4 linked regions of the Sus scrofa genome follow. The protein of the gene in region 4 purifies or fractionates together with the protein of the main gene of each other region. This does not show direct contact. Links are inferred from orthologs where the notes say so. Each region holds a gene or a part of one and is shown on either strand. Other genes may lie near its edges.

Region 1 (4,185 bases), on a different chromosome or scaffold from region 4:
ATGAATGAAGAAACAGATGCAGAATTCAAAATCAGTTCCAGGAGTTCCCATCATGGCGCAGAGGAGACGAATCCAACCAGGAACCATGAGGTTGAGGGTTCAATTCCTGACCTTGCTCAGTGGGTTAAGGATTCGGCATTACCATGAACTGTGGTGTAGGTCCCAGACGCGGCTCAGATCAGGTATTGCTGTGGCTGTGGCTCCGATTCAGCCCCTAGCCTTGGAACCTCCATATGCCCGGTGTGACCCTTAAAAAAAAAAAAAAAATCAGTTCCAGAGTCCCACTCTTGGCCTTCCTCAACCTCGGGCCTATGAACCTTCAACCCTCCAAGTTTCTTTAACACAACACCAGTTCTGCAGGTTTACCTGATCAGTCCATCAAATGAGCTGAGATCAAGGCAACCCACTCCACTGAAAAGGACTGGGGTTTCATGGTCAGAAGACTTGGGTATGACCCCAGGCACCTGTCTAAAGCTACATGACTTTCAGCAAATATTTAATTCTCAGAGCCTAAATTTCCTCTTGTGTGAAAAGGACAAGACCACCAACCTTGAAACTTATTTTGCAGAGCAAGTTCCTCAGTGCTCTGATCATGGCAGATGCCTGACAAATGGGTGACAAGCTCATCCTCCTAAAGGGCCAGTTACAAATTATTACCAAGTATCTCATCATAGGAATCACAAACTGTATGAGATTTATTACAGTTGTCATGCTTTTTTTCAATCATTTATTTAAAATGTCTTAATATATAAAAATAAAAATTCAGAGGTTAAACACCTTTATAAAACTGACATTTTACATATCAGAGATGGGGCTTTAATAATCAACAGACAGTGAAAATTAGTTAATTTTTTTTAAATGTCTGGGGTGCTTATATTTATCCAAATTTCACAGTCTTTTTTTTTTTTTTTTTTTTTGTATTTTCTTGAGAAAGCTGTATTTTAGAACCCAGAGACAGACCAGTTATCTAAACAATGGGCTACAAAATACACCACAGTCTCCGGGCAAAGTCACAACAGGATGAGAAAAGAGCCTTCGGCTTCTCTCAGATTTCCTGACCACTGTTATTTTAAAACTTGATCACACAAACATAAACAGAGGAAAAAAATCCATTTCAGATGAGCCCCGTGGGTTACAATTTATGATGTTTTTAAGACCTTATATTAATTTACATTAAATATTGCAATGGCTTCTTAAAGGTTTTGTCCATGTTTCCAGGCACCAATGAAGAATATACATATATGATATATAGTTTTATATATTATATATATATTTAGCTTTAAGTATAATCTTATCTTAAAGTCATCACTTCCATCATTCCCTTTTAAAACTAGTTTTTGAAAATTAAAATTTAACTTTAAAAGCCTAAAATAAATAGCATGTCACAGAGAACATACAAATGCACCGAGGAAATCTGCATAGGAATAAAATGACTTTTGTTACCACTAGGCAAGTAATTCTGCACAATTGAAAATACTCAAAATGAGCTGGATATTTAAAAAGTCAATGAGTTATTTTACAAGGTTGCTTTATTTCAAGCTCTGGCTATAGACCAATTTGTGGTGCTTCTAAAGTTAATAATAAAAGACACAAAGATAATTTTTTCACTAAACAATTTCCAATGGAAAACCACAATCCAGGACAACTAGGAAGTTTAGTTAATTTGTACAGAAATGTCGTTTTGCTGCCAACCTTTGTACCATGACCACTGCCAGCTCAAGTTCAAGATTCACATTTTATGGTGTGAAGTGCGTTCAGCTAAATCTTAAGAATAGTAATTATTAAATCTCTCAAACCCTGACGATATTTAGCTATAAAATTGCATTTATACCACCAGAACACAAGAGAAACTTTTATTTACCATGTACTGCAGCCAATTAAATTGGGGCAGTGTTCCTAGCTCCTTACACCCGCGGATAATTTAAGCATTCCTCCACCACAAATTTTATGCCAGATACAATGTAACATGTTTTCTGCAACTGTATGGAAATGTTTCTGACATGGATGTTCTAGTCATAACCTATCAAATTATCTATTTGCACTCCCAGCGTTTAAGCATTTTAACCGTTTTTTTAAAGAGTCTTGGAAATTTTAAAGAGTTTTGGAAAAACAAATATAAAAAGCTCCTGTTCGGTAGCAGATACATAAATGAACATAGCTCAAGTACTGGACCAACTAAAGACTAAAACTACAGCTTTAGATAGTCCCATCCTGGGCTCCTATGAGCTTAGGCTGTTAGTGATAGCAGCTGATCCTCACATCCCAAAACAAACAGCACTATTCTGGCAACAAATATTAAGCTGATTTAGAAAAGAGAAAACCATCACGGAATGTCCAGGTGAGCGCTGGACACCTGAGTGCTCTGCTTCTATCTGGGAGCCAGAGAAGATACACAAAGGTATCTTGGTGATGACAAACCCATGAAAGGCGACTCTTATTGTCCTGTGGAAATGAAAACCAGTCCTGCGCCACCGTGATCCGCCGCCGCCCGGGCCCACTCATCACCTGCTTCACCCACCCGGGGCCTCAGGAGCTGAGACGAGCCGTCGGCTCCTGGCAGACCCGAGAGGGACCCAAAACAAGGCCGGGTTCCGAGTAGAGAGGTTCGGGGAAGCGAGGCTCGGCGCCGACGCCCCGCCTTGGGCGCCCAGGGACACTCACCTGTGCGGACAGGGCAGGTGCGCGGCGGCTGGGCGACCTGTCGCCGGCGCAGCTGGGAGCGGGTGAGTGCGACGAGGGCGAGGGGAGCGCGCGGCGACGCGGACCCGCACAGCGACGAGACGGCGGCGACAGCGCCCGGTCTCCGGCTAGCTTCCTGCTCTGACCGATCCCGGGTCCGTCTCCGCCCGCCGGCCGGCGCCCAGCCAAGTCCCCGGCCCCGCCGCGCGCACGTCACGGCTACGGAGCGCCCAAGGGGGCGGGGGCGCGGGCGGGACGGGAGCGGCGCAGGCGCGGGTCATGGGCGCTCCGGGAGGGGGCGCTCGGCCCCGGGGCCGCGCGGCCTGCGCTCGCGGGCGCGCCACGGCGCGGAGGCCCGGGGCCGGGTGGGCGCGCGGCGGCGTGCGGAGGGGCCTCCCGGGGTATGGCGAACGTTCCTCTCTCCCGCCGCCGAGGACCTTCTGCTTCGCGGCGCTTATTGTTTCCACCGCCTGCGGAGCACCTCTCAGGACTGGGTGGGGGGACCGCGCCGTCCGGCCACAGCGGAATCAGTTCAGGGAGAGGGAAAGTTGCTCCGAGAGGGGGACCCCGATTGACGACTGGGGCTGGCGGGAGCCAGGCAGCGCTGTTCCCACCGGAGGGAGCGCGGCGGACTCAGCTCCACCCCGGGTCGGCTGGTGCTGGGCTGCCCTAGGTCAGTAGTGACCTTCCTGTGCCACAGACTTGCCCTTCTGCTTTGGGGAGCAGGGGGTCTGCGATGGAAATTTCTCATTTCTTTGGCCCCCACGCCGCCACCGTATTTACTTAGTAGAACCCACATCTTTTCTGCCCTTTAAGATTTACTACTTTTATAAGTGACATACCTGTGAGTCATATTGGAAAGTTAAAGATGAAAACATATATTTCCTTGACAACAAAAGTAGCTTCATTTAAAAAAATGAAATGGTAGTGGACTGCAATCATGAAGGTCTCTGCTGAAAAAAGCTACTCGTCCTACACGGGAGAATTGCCCTTTTTTTATTTTATTTTATTTTTTCTTATTTTTTTTTTAAGCCCTACCATTCTGGCTCCTCCCCAGCAACATTCTAAACAGCAACGAGAAAACTTAACAAAATCTCCAAGATCTGATAAGGTACAAGTTTCAGTTGTTCAGATGTTGCACGGTTCTCTTGGAGGAAAAGCCAAGTTATGTTGTGGTATTTTAACATGCAATTTATTTGAAAACAAAATAAAATAGGGAAGTAAGAAAGAGGAAGAGAAACCAAGAAAGGAAATAATTGACAGCAATCTCAGAAATTTAATTTCCAGATTGCCAGGAGGTAAATCTTAAGTATATGAAAGTAGATTTCAAAACAAATTGGAAAAAAAGAACCATAAGAACAGGGAGAACATGATTTCAGTTCACTGCTTTGACTTCATTTTGGACTTTTAAAATTAAAAGACTTTGGCAGACCAATAGAAGTCCATACAGCTTATTGTGAGTAATGACGTAATTTTTTCCTCTCTCTCTCCTTCCTCCTCACTCTT
Region 2 (3,830 bases), on a different chromosome or scaffold from region 4:
CCCCCGACACCTTCCTGGGAGCTGCTGCCCGGCTCCACTTCCCTCCTGGCCCCTTCCCCAGCTCTGCAGGACCTGGACCCCACTATCTCTCAGGAGTCTTACCGCCTGGGACCTACTCGGGCCCCACCCAGGTGTTACAGCCCAGAGCCCCCCCGGCCCCTGGGCACCCTGCAGTGGCCATGGCACCTGGACCTCCCCTCTATGCAGCCCCAGCTTTCACCCCAGAGCTGGGCCTTGTGCCCCGATCTTCGCCCCAGCATGGTGTGGTGAGCAGTCCCTATGGGGGGGTGGGCCCACCTCCACCAGTTGCAGGCTTGCCCTCAGCCCCACCCCCCCAGTTCTCAGGCCCTGAGTTGGCCATGGGGGTTCGGCCAGCTACCACCACAGTAGATAGTGTCCAGGCCCCCATCTCCAGCCACACAGCACCACGGCCAACCCCCACCCCTGCTCCTCCCCAGCCCTGCTTCCCCGGACACCCACCACAGCCCCTCCCCATGCCCTATGCCTACCCTGTGGGGGCCAAGCAACCCCTCACAGCACCCCCAGCCCAGCACCACTTTTCTCCTGGGATCCCCACAGGTTTTTCTGTCCCAAGGATTGGGCCTCAGCCTCATCCCACACGAACGGTGTTTGGGCCCCAGCCTCCCCAGCAGCCCCTTCCACTCCAGCATCCACACCTTTTCCCATCTCAGGCGCCAGGACTGGTACCCCCCCAACCCCCCTATCCCTTTGCTCCTCAGCCTGGTGTCCTGGGGCAGCCACCACCCACCCTGCACACCCAGCTCTACTCAGGCCCCTCTCAGGACCCTCTGCCCCCCCACTCAGGGGCACTGCCTTTCCCTAGCCCTGGACCCCCTCAACCTCCCCATCCCACCCTAGCATATGGTCCTGCCCCCTCCCCCAGGCCCATGGGCCCCCAGGCAGCCCCTCTCTCCATTCGAGGCCCTCCACCTGCTGGCCAGCCCACATCCACTCCCAACCTGGTGCCTTCACCTGCCCCATCACCGGGGCCTGGCCCAGTACCTCCTCGGCCCCCTGCATCAGAGCCACCATCATGTCTGCGCCGGGGTGCAGCAGCTGCAGATTTGCTTTCCTCCAGCCCCGAGAGTCAGCATGGAGGCACTCAGCCCCCTGGGGGTGGACAGCCTCTGCTGCAGCCTACAAAGGTGGATGCAGCTGAGGGCCGGCGGCCACAGGCCCTACGGCTGATTGAGCGGGACCCCTATGAGCACCCCGAGAGGCTACAGCAGTTGCAGCAGGAGCTGGAGGCCTTTCGGGGCCAGCTGGGTGATACAGGGTCTCTTGACGCTGTATGGCGGGAGCTGCAAGAAGCACAAGAGCATGATGCCCGTGGCCGTTCCATCGCCATTGCCCGCTGCTACTCCCTGAAGAACCGGCACCAGGACGTCATGCCCTATGACAGCAACCGCGTGGTGCTGCGCTCGGGTAAGGACGACTACATTAACGCCAGCCGCGTGGAGGGGCTCTCGCCGTACTGTCCGCCCTTGGTGGCCACCCAGGCGCCTTTGCCTGGTACAGCTGCTGACTTCTGGCTCATGGTGCACGAGCAGAAAGTGTCAGTCATTGTCATGCTGGTGTCTGAGGCCGAGATGGAGAAGGTGAGACAGGGAGGTCGGGTGGGTGCCCAGCAGGGGCCCTGGAAACATGCCCTAACTGCCTTGTTTGTTCCTCAGCAAAAGGTGGCACGCTACTTCCCTACAGAGAGGGGCCAGCCCATGGTGCATGGAGCCCTGAGCCTGGCCCTGAGCAGTGTCCGCACCACAGAGACCCATGTGGAGCGGGTGCTAAGCCTTCAGTTCCGTGACCAGAGCCTCAAGCGCTCGCTTGTGCACCTCCACTTTCCTACTTGGCCAGAGTTGTGCGTCTGTTGCCCTGGGAGGTGGTCGGGGGCTGGGGGCTGGTGTGGCCTCTCACTGGATCTGGCTCAGAGACAACCCCCCAACCCCCCCCCCCCCCCCTGCAGAGGCCTGCCTGACAGTCCTGGCAACCTGCTCCGCTTCATCCAGGAGGTGCATGCTCATTACCTGCACCAGCGCCCCCTGCACACGCCCATCGTTGTGCACTGCAGGTAAGTGCAGGCAGCTCCTGAGTGGTCTGTCTCTGGGGGCTCTCGGCCTGGCCTTATACCCAATTCCTGTCACAGCTCCGGGGTGGGCCGCACAGGAGCCTTTGCACTGCTCTACGCGGCTGTGCAGGAGGTTGAGGCTGGAAACGGGATCCCTGAGCTGCCTCAGCTGGTGCGGCGCATGCGGCAGCAGAGGAAACACATGCTGCAGGAGAAGGTGGGGACCTGGGCGGGCGGGAGCTGGGACGGGCCCTCTGGCCTGGGCGAGCTCCCCACCCAGCTGACCAGGCCAAACTCGCCTCTGCAGCTGCACCTCAAGTTCTGCCATGAGGCGGTGGTGAGACATGTGGAACAGGTCCTGCAGCGCCATGGCGTGCTCCCTCCATGCAGACCCTCAGCCAGCATCAGTGTCAGCCAGAAGGTGATGGAGGGAGCCCTGGAGTCTGCTGGGGACAGCTCCTGCCTTGTGGACCCCTCTTTACCCATTCTCTCTTCTCAGAATCACCTTCCTCCGGATTCCCAGGACCTGGTCCTCGGTGGGGACGTGCCCATCAGTTCCATCCAGGCCACTATTGCAAAACTCAGTATTCGGCCTTCTGGGGGCTTGGATTCCCCGGCTGCCAGCCTGCCTGGGCCTGTAGAGGCCGCAGGCCTGCCACCAACCAGCCTCCCAGAGTCCACCCAACTTCCATCCTCGTCCCCACCGCCCCTCTCTTCACCCCTGCCTGAGGCTCCCCAGCCTGAGGAGGAACCACCAGTACCAGAAGTCCCCACCCTGGGGCCCCCCTCCTCCTCCCTGGAGCTGCTGGCCTCCCTCACTCCTGAAGCCTTCTCCCTGGACAGCTCCTTGCGGGGAAAGCAGCGAATGAGCAAGCAGAACTTCCTGCAGGCCCATAATGGGCAGGGTCTGCGGGCTGCCCGGCCCACTGATGACCCTCTTAGCCTTCTGGATCCACTCTGGACACTCAACAAGACCTAACAGGCTTTGTCTACCTGGTCCTTACACTACTTCATCTCCCATGCCTGTCTCCCCTCTTGGAGCGAGGCCTAGTCTTACTCCCATTCCTGCTGCCTTCAGCCCTACCTGGCCCGGCCTGTACCTTTGGGGTAAAGATGCATCACAGGTCTTGGGTCAGGTTCTGCTCCTTTGTGGGACCTGACGTTTTTCAGCTCTTTGCTATTGAATAAACAGACCTGTTCTGTGGCCAGTGTCTGCCATTGCTATGCCCACTCTAGGGTGGAGGTGCTGGGATGTGGAATGAGGGCCACCCTGGTTTGCCTAAATGTGAAACAATAAACGAAGGCATCTAGCATGGGCCTGCTGAGCTTCCCCCACCCTGTAAAGGCCCCTGTACGGTTCCTGCTGGGAACAGCTCTGAGCTCAAGGTTTAACCAAGTGCTGCGGTTTGAGTACAGGGATGGAGTTTGTAAATGATGCCAGAGCTCCTCCAGGGGAAGATGCAAGCAGTTCACAAAGCCTCTAGCTGATGTCATTTAAAAAAAGGTTTAATATTACAGTCATGAGGCAGGATAGGACAGTTCAGAGGGCCTACCGGAAGACTCGGCTCTTCCTCCCCTCCCCCCAGCCCAGATCCAGTGCATTGCCCCACAGCCAGAAGGGCAGAGAGGCCCCTGAGCAGCCAGCCAGGGGGCTATGGCTGTTGCTCACTCTCAGTCCAGCTTTTCCAGCACAGAGGGCACATACACCAGGCTGAGCTCGCTGCCAAAGTTGCAGACAATAGCG
Region 3 (4,299 bases), on a different chromosome or scaffold from region 4:
GAGTTTTCCGTAAGGCTGGAGTTTAGATATGTTCCTCTCTCCTCAAACTCACTTAGAACCTCCTGCCTATACATCCCTGTCTAACACATCAGATACAGAGATCCCTCCTAAAATCTGTTTCTCATTACACTCCAAAGCCTATAGGGTTTGTAACACCTTTCTCATCCCACTCCCAAGGAATAACAGGTACTGTGTTAATAACACACCAGGTTGTGTGTGTAAGCATTTCACAGGTGCTCACATAATCCTAGCAACCCCGGGAGGGTTTATATCTGCACCTTTTACAGAGGAGAAAACTGAGGCAGGGCAGTGGCAGTGGTGTTGGTTATATAAATTGTCTGAGACCACAAAGCTTAACTCACATTCAAGCAGTCTAGGACAGCACAGAATCTTAACCACAAGAGTGAGTGACTGAGAGAGAGAGAGAGAGAGAAGAGGTAAAGAAAATGTCTAACCACTTCTCTACTCCCCAAAGGAAGTGCTGACCACTGCATGATTTTTTTTTTTTTCTGACCACTGCACTATTACCAACCTCAATTACACTGTTAGAGATCTGGCTTTAAGTCACTAAATGCTTAGTTTACTAAGAAAGGCCTTCGTAGGAAATAAGTCAGCAATCGTCCCTTCCTTCCCTTTGCTGAAAGCTCGATGCACAAGGGATCCATGTCCAACTTTACTCTTTCCCTTCTCTCTCTCCAAACTGTCCATCACCAACAACTGCTGGTTCTACACAGGACCCCTGTACCTGACATTTTCGCACATTCCTGTGAATCTACTACATGCCAGACACCCTGCTAGGCACCGGGGATACAAAAGCGAGCAAGAGCTAACACTGTCCTGAATCAGGACAGCCTTCTGCGAGTCCTGATGCTCCCAACTCTGTCCTCATCAGGGCAGCCACAACTGTCTTTCAGAGATGGCAATCTCTCATCCCACCCCACCTCTGCCTAAAAACGCCACCAGAATATGGTACAATCTAAGGCAGGGAGACTTGGAGCTCAGCTGTTAACATGCCCTTTTTTCTTAAGCAAGTCATTTCTCTGTAGGACTCATACTTCTTTCTATCAAATGAGGGGAGATGAACTAAGGATCTAAAATAAATTTTGATTCTCAGGCAAACAGTGAAGACCACCCATAGCAACTAAGAAACCCTAATCACTGAAAGCCAACTTCGTTTTCCCACCATAGCCTAGAGTTCAGCCCAACATGCCGGCTGTAAATTACCTTTTTTGGCCTATTACCTGTTCTGTAAGTTCATATGGGGGAACTGACTTGCTCTGGAGGCAGCATGGTGTAGTTTAAAAATTCAGGCTGCAACCTAGCAGTCTCCCCAGACCCACTTCCCCAAAGGTTCTGGCTGGCTGAAGACAGACTCCTTAGTCTGACTGCTTTTACAAAGACCGCTCATCGAGCGCACCAACGCCCCAGTTTCCAAAATTCCTCATCATCTCACTCCCAACAGGTTTCTCTCATTTATGTCACCTGCATGGCCCCCTGAAGGTTTGGGTTTAGTATAAACACACCCATCTGCCCCGCTAGCACCCTATTCTCCCTTAATTGGAATGTTTTTTTAAGCAAATGAAAAGCCAAGTCTCCTTTCTTCTACCGAATTTCCTACTTCCTTAAACGATTGAAAAGGTCTCTTGCACTCGTTTCCTCCCTCCTACCACCACAATCCTAAACTCTGCACACCGGTAAGGCATTCAGAGGTCAAACTGGTAGCTTACCACGTGCTCCCTTTCCCTCCTTTTTGCTGGAGTTTGCGTGGGGAGAGGCCACGCCACATTTTCTACTCGCCTCTGGGAAGACTGGTCCAGGCTAATCTCAGGTTCTGTTTAGGCAGCACTCCTACCAAAAGCTGTTCCCGTAGGAAGTTGAGCTTCGGAAGTCCTAGCCGCAATACGTTCGACAAATGGCAAAACTCTTCTTCTCTCTCCAGAGCTAGACCATCTTTCCTGCATTCCTTACTCACTCCTCCTTTCCTCCCTCGAACCCAATATTCTGTACATTAAGTGCTGAATTGCACTGCAATTTGTTTGTGTGTCTCAAAAACAATACCACTATTCTTATCTTTTTTTCCGTCTTCCTTCCTGCTAACTGGTCTGTGTTAAGCTCAGCCTTGTCTGTTAACTCTGGCCAACTGCGCCAATGCGGCTGTGCCTCAGAAGCCAGGTTCAAGTCAAAGCAAGTGCTCAATGAAAAGTTCCTGAATTGAACAGGCTTCTTAAGGCTCCTCAGCCTGTCACCTTCTTTTCTTGGCTTTCTGGCTCCGCCTGTACCCAGGAGGGTTCACACACACTCACAGAACAGACTAGGCTTCTCGAGCCCAGGTTTCTGCATGACTGAACTGGGGTCTCGTTTCCTCTTTGACTCCTCAACCTCCCGGTTAGCCAACAACAAGAGTTACACGGAGCTCTCAGACGCACTCCGGACCGAGTTTCCGGACAACCGCTCCCGCCCCGAACGCGCCGGCACTCACCCGGACCCCCCGGCGGCTCGCCGTGCGGCTGGGGCCCAGGAGCGCCTCCGTCCAGGATGGCGAAGGCCTCGTCGTTCTCGATGCCAGCAATCTCGCTCTCCTGCTGCGCCAAGAAGGCCGCGGCCGGGTCCTCCTCGCCGGCCACTCCGTTCCCCAGCGAGGGGCCGGCGGGGGCGCCGAACGGATCTAAATCAGCCATGGCAGGCGTTCAACTGCACAGAAATCGACGCTGAAAGACACACCAACCGACCCGCCGTAACCGCGCCCGGCAGCGGCCGCTGTGGTGGCAACGCGACCGGAGGACAAGCTGGAGGAGGGAGAAGACGGAAGCGGAAACCCTACCCCCATATCCGGTTGATATAGGCAGTGTTGGAGAGCCGAAAAGGTAATAACCAATCAGAGGACAGAAATGGTTCAAGTGCTAACCAATCAGCAGGAGGAGGGGAAGGCCCCCGAATAAAACTCGTGACTCGGGAAGCACCTGCGTGGAAGGCGCTAAGCCCCTCCAGCCCCCGGGAGCCGGAAGTGGTGTGTGTCTGAAGGCAGCCTTGCCTGACCCGCCTTAGGGGCTGGACTGACCCAGGACAGCCACCTCAGAAGGGACGCTCTGTGTTGAACCGGGAAGTGAGGCGAAGTCAGGGCGGTGATGGCTGGCCGATTGCAAAAGAGTCTAGACACTTAGGCTTTTGGGATCTCATTTTCCGCATTTGTAAAATGGGAACAAGAGTCCTGCACTGCCTCCTTCCAGGATTACTGAGAAAACCGAGTCCTTTTATGGCTCTGTTCTGGCTTTCTAAAGAAAAAAAAGTTTGTTAACCCATTCACCCAGGGGTTATTTTGTCCTTTAGAGCTGCCTGACTTAAATGTAATCGCTTCCCATTCATTGTGACTTTTCTCCTCCATAGTATTGTTATAAAACGGAGAATATAACCCCTTTTACAAAGCCTTTCGCATACAGTACTCTTTTCAGAGCTAGGCAGGAATTTCTAGAACTGAAAGATGCCTTAAGGATTATCTGGTTCATAGGGAAACTGAGGCCCCTGCGTGAGAAGACGTGGTTTTCACGGGGAGTCAGTGGCCAAGAGGAAACCCAGGTCTCCTGAGCAACTCCAAATGGTTCTAGCCACAATCTTTTGTATCATACTCCTTTCCCACCTAAGGGAGGCAGGAACTTTACTTTTTTTATTTTTTATTTTATTATTTTATTTTATTTTTTGTCTTTTTGCCTTTTCTAGGCTGCTCCTGTGGCATATGGAGGTTCCTAGGCTAGGGGTCTAATTGGAGCTGTAGCCACCGTCCTACTCCAGAGCCACAGCAACGTGGGATCCGAGCCTCGTCTGCGACCTACACCTCAGCTCACAGCAGCGCTGGATCCTTAACCCGCTGAGCAAGGCGAGGGATGGAACCCTCAACCTCATGGTTCTTAGTCGGGTTCGTTTACCACTGAGCCATGACAGGATTTCTTTAAACTCAGGTGCATGTTCGTAACATGGCTAATTTTGTCTATACCATAGACAAGATAATAGAGTGATTCCAGTTACTCATGCTCATAGGGGGAAGGTTGCTTATGCACTGGCTAACAGAAGGACCTTCTCCACCACCACCCTAAAAAGTCAAAAACAGAGACAAACCTAAAAGCCAGCCAGAGGTCAAAGTTGCCTCCAGAGGTAGTCCACAAAGGAGAAGAAAGCGGTTTTTGAAAGTAATCATGTATCTTTGTTGACACAAAAGGGTAATTATTTTCTTACAGTATGTACTTACTTTTAAAGTCATTTCAAGTATGGAGTGTAGGAAAGTTTTGAAGAAAAACACATAAGAAA
Region 4 (3,572 bases):
AAGAGTGTTTTTTATTTTGCTTAGTCATGTCAGGAATGGACTAAAAAAATAATTCAGTTCCAAAAAGTCATAAGGTCTCATCCTTAATTAGGACGAGTAGCCATACTGAAAAAATTATGTCTTCTCTAAAATACCATGGCAGACTACAAAATATATAGCACATTATATCAAGTAGGCTTAAGACTTATAAACTGGTTTTCAGATACTATAAAAATGATATGCAAGGTTTTTTCCAGGAGTTTTCAAAAAAGTCACAGCTTTATGTCGTAATATATCTAATTTCTAACACCTATTTGTCTTTTTGTTTAAATTCCTTCAATTCAGATCTAAACATCTGAATTGTGTTTTCTATCCTTGTCGTATTGAGAGGCTGGTAGTTGCAATACTTGGTTCGAGGATTCTTACTCTGAAATGTAGGCAGAATTCTACCTCTGTGTAGATGTCTCCTCCCAGCTCAGAGGCTATCAATTACCATATTTTAAACAATCTCTCTCTTGATTTTTAAAAACTACTTAGCATGGAAAAATATTAAGACTTCAGAGCTTCTACTATGGCAATGAGAACGTCAAACTGAGCTTCCAGGGGCAGCAGTGTTAACTCTGGCATCCAGCATTGCAATCACAGCAAGAGCAGGTCCTCAGAGTTCTGTAGCAGGACTTGTGGCTGGGGCCCTGGCTGTTGACATTCTCCCCTAATCCTTCCAATTTTCCAAGTTTGGTTCTAAGCCTTCCTGGCTATTGTAAACTATTCATTATCCTTTCATTAAATTTTTTATGCTCTAATCAACCAGACCTTGTTTCTGTTGTCTGCAACTAAAAACCCTAACATACTAAGTACTTCAATTTGTCCAGGTGAGGAGTTCCCGTCATGGTTCAGTGGTTAACGAATCCGACTAGGAACCATGAGGTTTCAGGTTTGATCCCTGGCCTTGCTCAGTGGGTTAACGATCCGGCGTTGCCATGAGCTGTGGTGTGGGTCGCAGACGCAGCTTGGATCCTACGTTGCTGCGGCTCTGGCTTAGGCTGGCGGCTACAGCTCCGATTCGACCCCTAGCCTGGGAACCTCCATATGCCGCAGGAGTGGCCCTAGAAAAGGCAAACCGCCCCCCCCCAAAAAAGTGTCCAGGTGATTTTGTTTTTAGGGGCCGCACTCGCAGAATGTGGAGGTTCCCAGGCTGGGGTCCAATCCGAGCTGTAGCTGCCAACCTACACCATAGCCACAGCAACGCGGGATCTGAGCTGAGTCTGCGACCTACACACCACAGCACATGACAACACCAGATCCTTAACCCACTGAACGAGGCCAGGGATCGAACCCGCAACCACGTGGTTGCTAGTTGGGTTCCTAACCACTGAGCCACGAAAAGAACTCCTGTCCAGGTGATTTTAATGCATAGTCAGGGTTGAGAAGCTCTGACTTAATAAGGCAATAGTACGGAAATTGCGGTCCACATTTTACCTAGTCACCTAGAGCAGTTAAAATAGACATTATGAGCTCTACTTACTGAATCACTCTCTAAACAGTAGGCACACAAACGTACATCTTAGCCATGGTACTGATTCTTTTTTTTTTTTTTTTTAAGTTTTGTTTTTTAGGGCTGCACCCACGGCATGTGGAGGTTCCCAGGCTAGGGGCTGAAACAAAGCTCTAGCTGCCAGCCTACGCCACAGCCACAGCTATAAAACCTCCAAGCCGAGTCTACAACCTAAACCACAGCTCATGGCAACACTGGATCCTTAACCCACTGAGCGAAGCTAGGGATCGAACCTGAACCCTTATGGATCTTAGTCGGGTTCATTAACCACTGAGCCCGAAATGAACTCCATGGTACTGATTCTTAAGCACAGTTAAAGGTGAAAAGCATCGAGTTAAGGCCTTTGGTAAAGACAATGAAAATAAAGCTTAGTATAAACAGCTGATACAAAAAAATTGTATAAAATAAGGAATATTCATTTCAGACAAGCATCACTACTGAAACAGAATTTAAACAAATTAAGTCACCACAAATCAATGGTAAAAAAATTAACAAGACTTTGAAACTAGATGACAAATCAATTAGAAGCAGAAAGACAGAAGACAATTTCTCATTCAAATAATTTCCAAAGGCAAAACTTACCTTCCCTCCAGCCTGACCCCGTACTGCAAAGCAAAATAAAGTTGATTCTTCTGCATTTCCTTCCATCTTAAACTGTGCAAAGCTAGCTGCATGTCCTTCAATGGGCTGAGACACTTTCCTATCTACAGAATATAGCTGCATAGCTCCCACCACACGATTTTGCTGCAAAAGATCAAACAGAATAAAGTTTGGGGAACCAATGAACCAACTCCCAGATTCATCAACTACTGTAACAACTGGAATGCTTTATTATCTTTAGACAGATTTACAACTCCTGGTTAGTCTCTTAATGTAGATTTGATACCTCTTAATTCATAATTTAGCTGCAAACATTATCTTATTAAAGCTTAACATGAATGTTTAAAATGTGCCTTATATACAACCATCTCTTTACATTACCTTTAAAAAAAAAAAGAAAAAAGATACAGGAATACTCATTCTGCAGTAAATATCCACACTAAATTCCAAATCATTCATACAGGAACTCAATATCCACTCAATATGCAAATAAGACCTAAGAACACCTGGTAAGAATACTCTGAAATATACGTTAGTATACCGGAATTAAGCCAGCAACCTTTAGTTTTTAAAAATGAAAAGAAAGGGGAAAAACATCTTCTAAAATAAGCCAGATTTGCAAAGAAGACCTAATTTCAAAATAAACTACATTCTGGGCACATTAATTCTCTAGACATTTTCTTTATTAGAAACTAAAAATGTTACCTGTGCAGATATGCCAGTCAGAAGTAACCACTTTTGCTTTGCATCAGTACGATAATTGATAATCTGGCACCCTGCAAGGCTAGAATGACGATCAAACATTTTCACTGGCTGAGACTCTCCTTCCATACTCCAATGATAAACTGCATTATCCGTAACAAGAGCAACGGTATTCAAAGAGATCCATTTCCAGAAGGTGACATCATCAGTCATGGTATGGGCTTTCATTTTACTTTTCATTTCAATGTTAAATATCTGAAGAGTTTTCCCAGCTAAAAACAAAAGTAAGATTATGAATCACCAAGAAAGCAAAGTTCAGGATAAATTAATATCTAGTTAGACTAGACTATCTCTGCAACAACTAAACCTGCAACTTCCAAACAAAATGTTTCTATCATGAGACTAATAATCAACTACAGAAGTCACACTGACAGAACAGCAATCACTGAAGGATAGCTGAGAATGAGCAAACAATTGACATCTAAATCTGAGGCAAAACTATCACCTCTAATAAAGACATTTTAAACAGATAGTATGACTTCCAAAGAACTCTAAATCCCAACTAAAAATGAGTCTAAAGAACAGCTCACTTAACAGAAAACAAGTTGCGATCTTCTTACTTAAGGATGCTTACCCATAAACTAAGTTAGTGAGTGATAGTACAGAGAACGAACAAATCAAATCTGATTCAAGCACATGAGGAAAATGTCTACTTTTTTTAAAAGGCAGTCATCCT

What was found.
Region 1: the proteins of CLTC (region 4) and MYO6 purify together in Homo sapiens (affinity purification with western blotting; 4 studies listed by BioGRID and IntAct, with this or other methods). This does not show direct contact. The link is inferred for Sus scrofa from reciprocal best matches to the Homo sapiens genes CLTC and MYO6.
Region 2: the proteins of CLTC (region 4) and PTPN23 purify together in Homo sapiens (affinity purification with mass spectrometry; 3 studies listed by BioGRID and IntAct, with this or other methods). This does not show direct contact. The link is inferred for Sus scrofa from reciprocal best matches to the Homo sapiens genes CLTC and PTPN23.
Region 3: the proteins of CLTC (region 4) and CLTA purify together in Homo sapiens (co-immunoprecipitation; 6 studies listed by BioGRID and IntAct, with this or other methods). This does not show direct contact. The link is inferred for Sus scrofa from reciprocal best matches to the Homo sapiens genes CLTC and CLTA.

The regions. Positions count from the first base shown.
Region 1 is NC_010443.5:90,134,856-90,139,040, forward strand, and holds the start of MYO6 (unconventional myosin-VI), read right to left. Parts: upstream 2,870-4,185; 5' UTR 2,662-2,869; intron 1-2,661. UniProt on the Homo sapiens protein: Myosins are actin-based motor molecules with ATPase activity. Unconventional myosins serve in intracellular movements. Myosin 6 is a reverse-direction motor protein that moves towards the minus-end of actin filaments.
Region 2 is NC_010455.5:30,249,691-30,253,520, forward strand, and holds the end of PTPN23 (tyrosine-protein phosphatase non-receptor type 23), read left to right. Parts: coding exon 1-1,879; intron 1,880-1,984; coding exon 1,985-2,089; intron 2,090-2,164; coding exon 2,165-2,303; intron 2,304-2,393; coding exon 2,394-3,065; 3' UTR 3,066-3,290; downstream 3,291-3,830. Other genes in the region: SCAP (sterol regulatory element-binding protein cleavage-activating protein), read right to left, coding at 3,758-3,830. UniProt on the Homo sapiens protein: Plays a role in sorting of endocytic ubiquitinated cargos into multivesicular bodies (MVBs) via its interaction with the ESCRT-I complex (endosomal sorting complex required for transport I), and possibly also other ESCRT complexes.
Region 3 is NC_010443.5:236,970,030-236,974,328, reverse strand, and holds the start of CLTA (clathrin light chain A), read right to left. Parts: upstream 2,827-4,299; 5' UTR 2,679-2,826; coding exon 2,480-2,678; intron 1-2,479. UniProt on the Homo sapiens protein: Clathrin is the major protein of the polyhedral coat of coated pits and vesicles.
Region 4 is NC_010454.4:35,873,321-35,876,892, reverse strand, and holds part of CLTC (clathrin heavy chain 1), read right to left. Parts: intron 3,109-3,572; coding exon 2,840-3,108; intron 2,279-2,839; coding exon 2,117-2,278; intron 1-2,116. UniProt on the Homo sapiens protein: Clathrin is the major protein of the polyhedral coat of coated pits and vesicles. Two different adapter protein complexes link the clathrin lattice either to the plasma membrane or to the trans-Golgi network.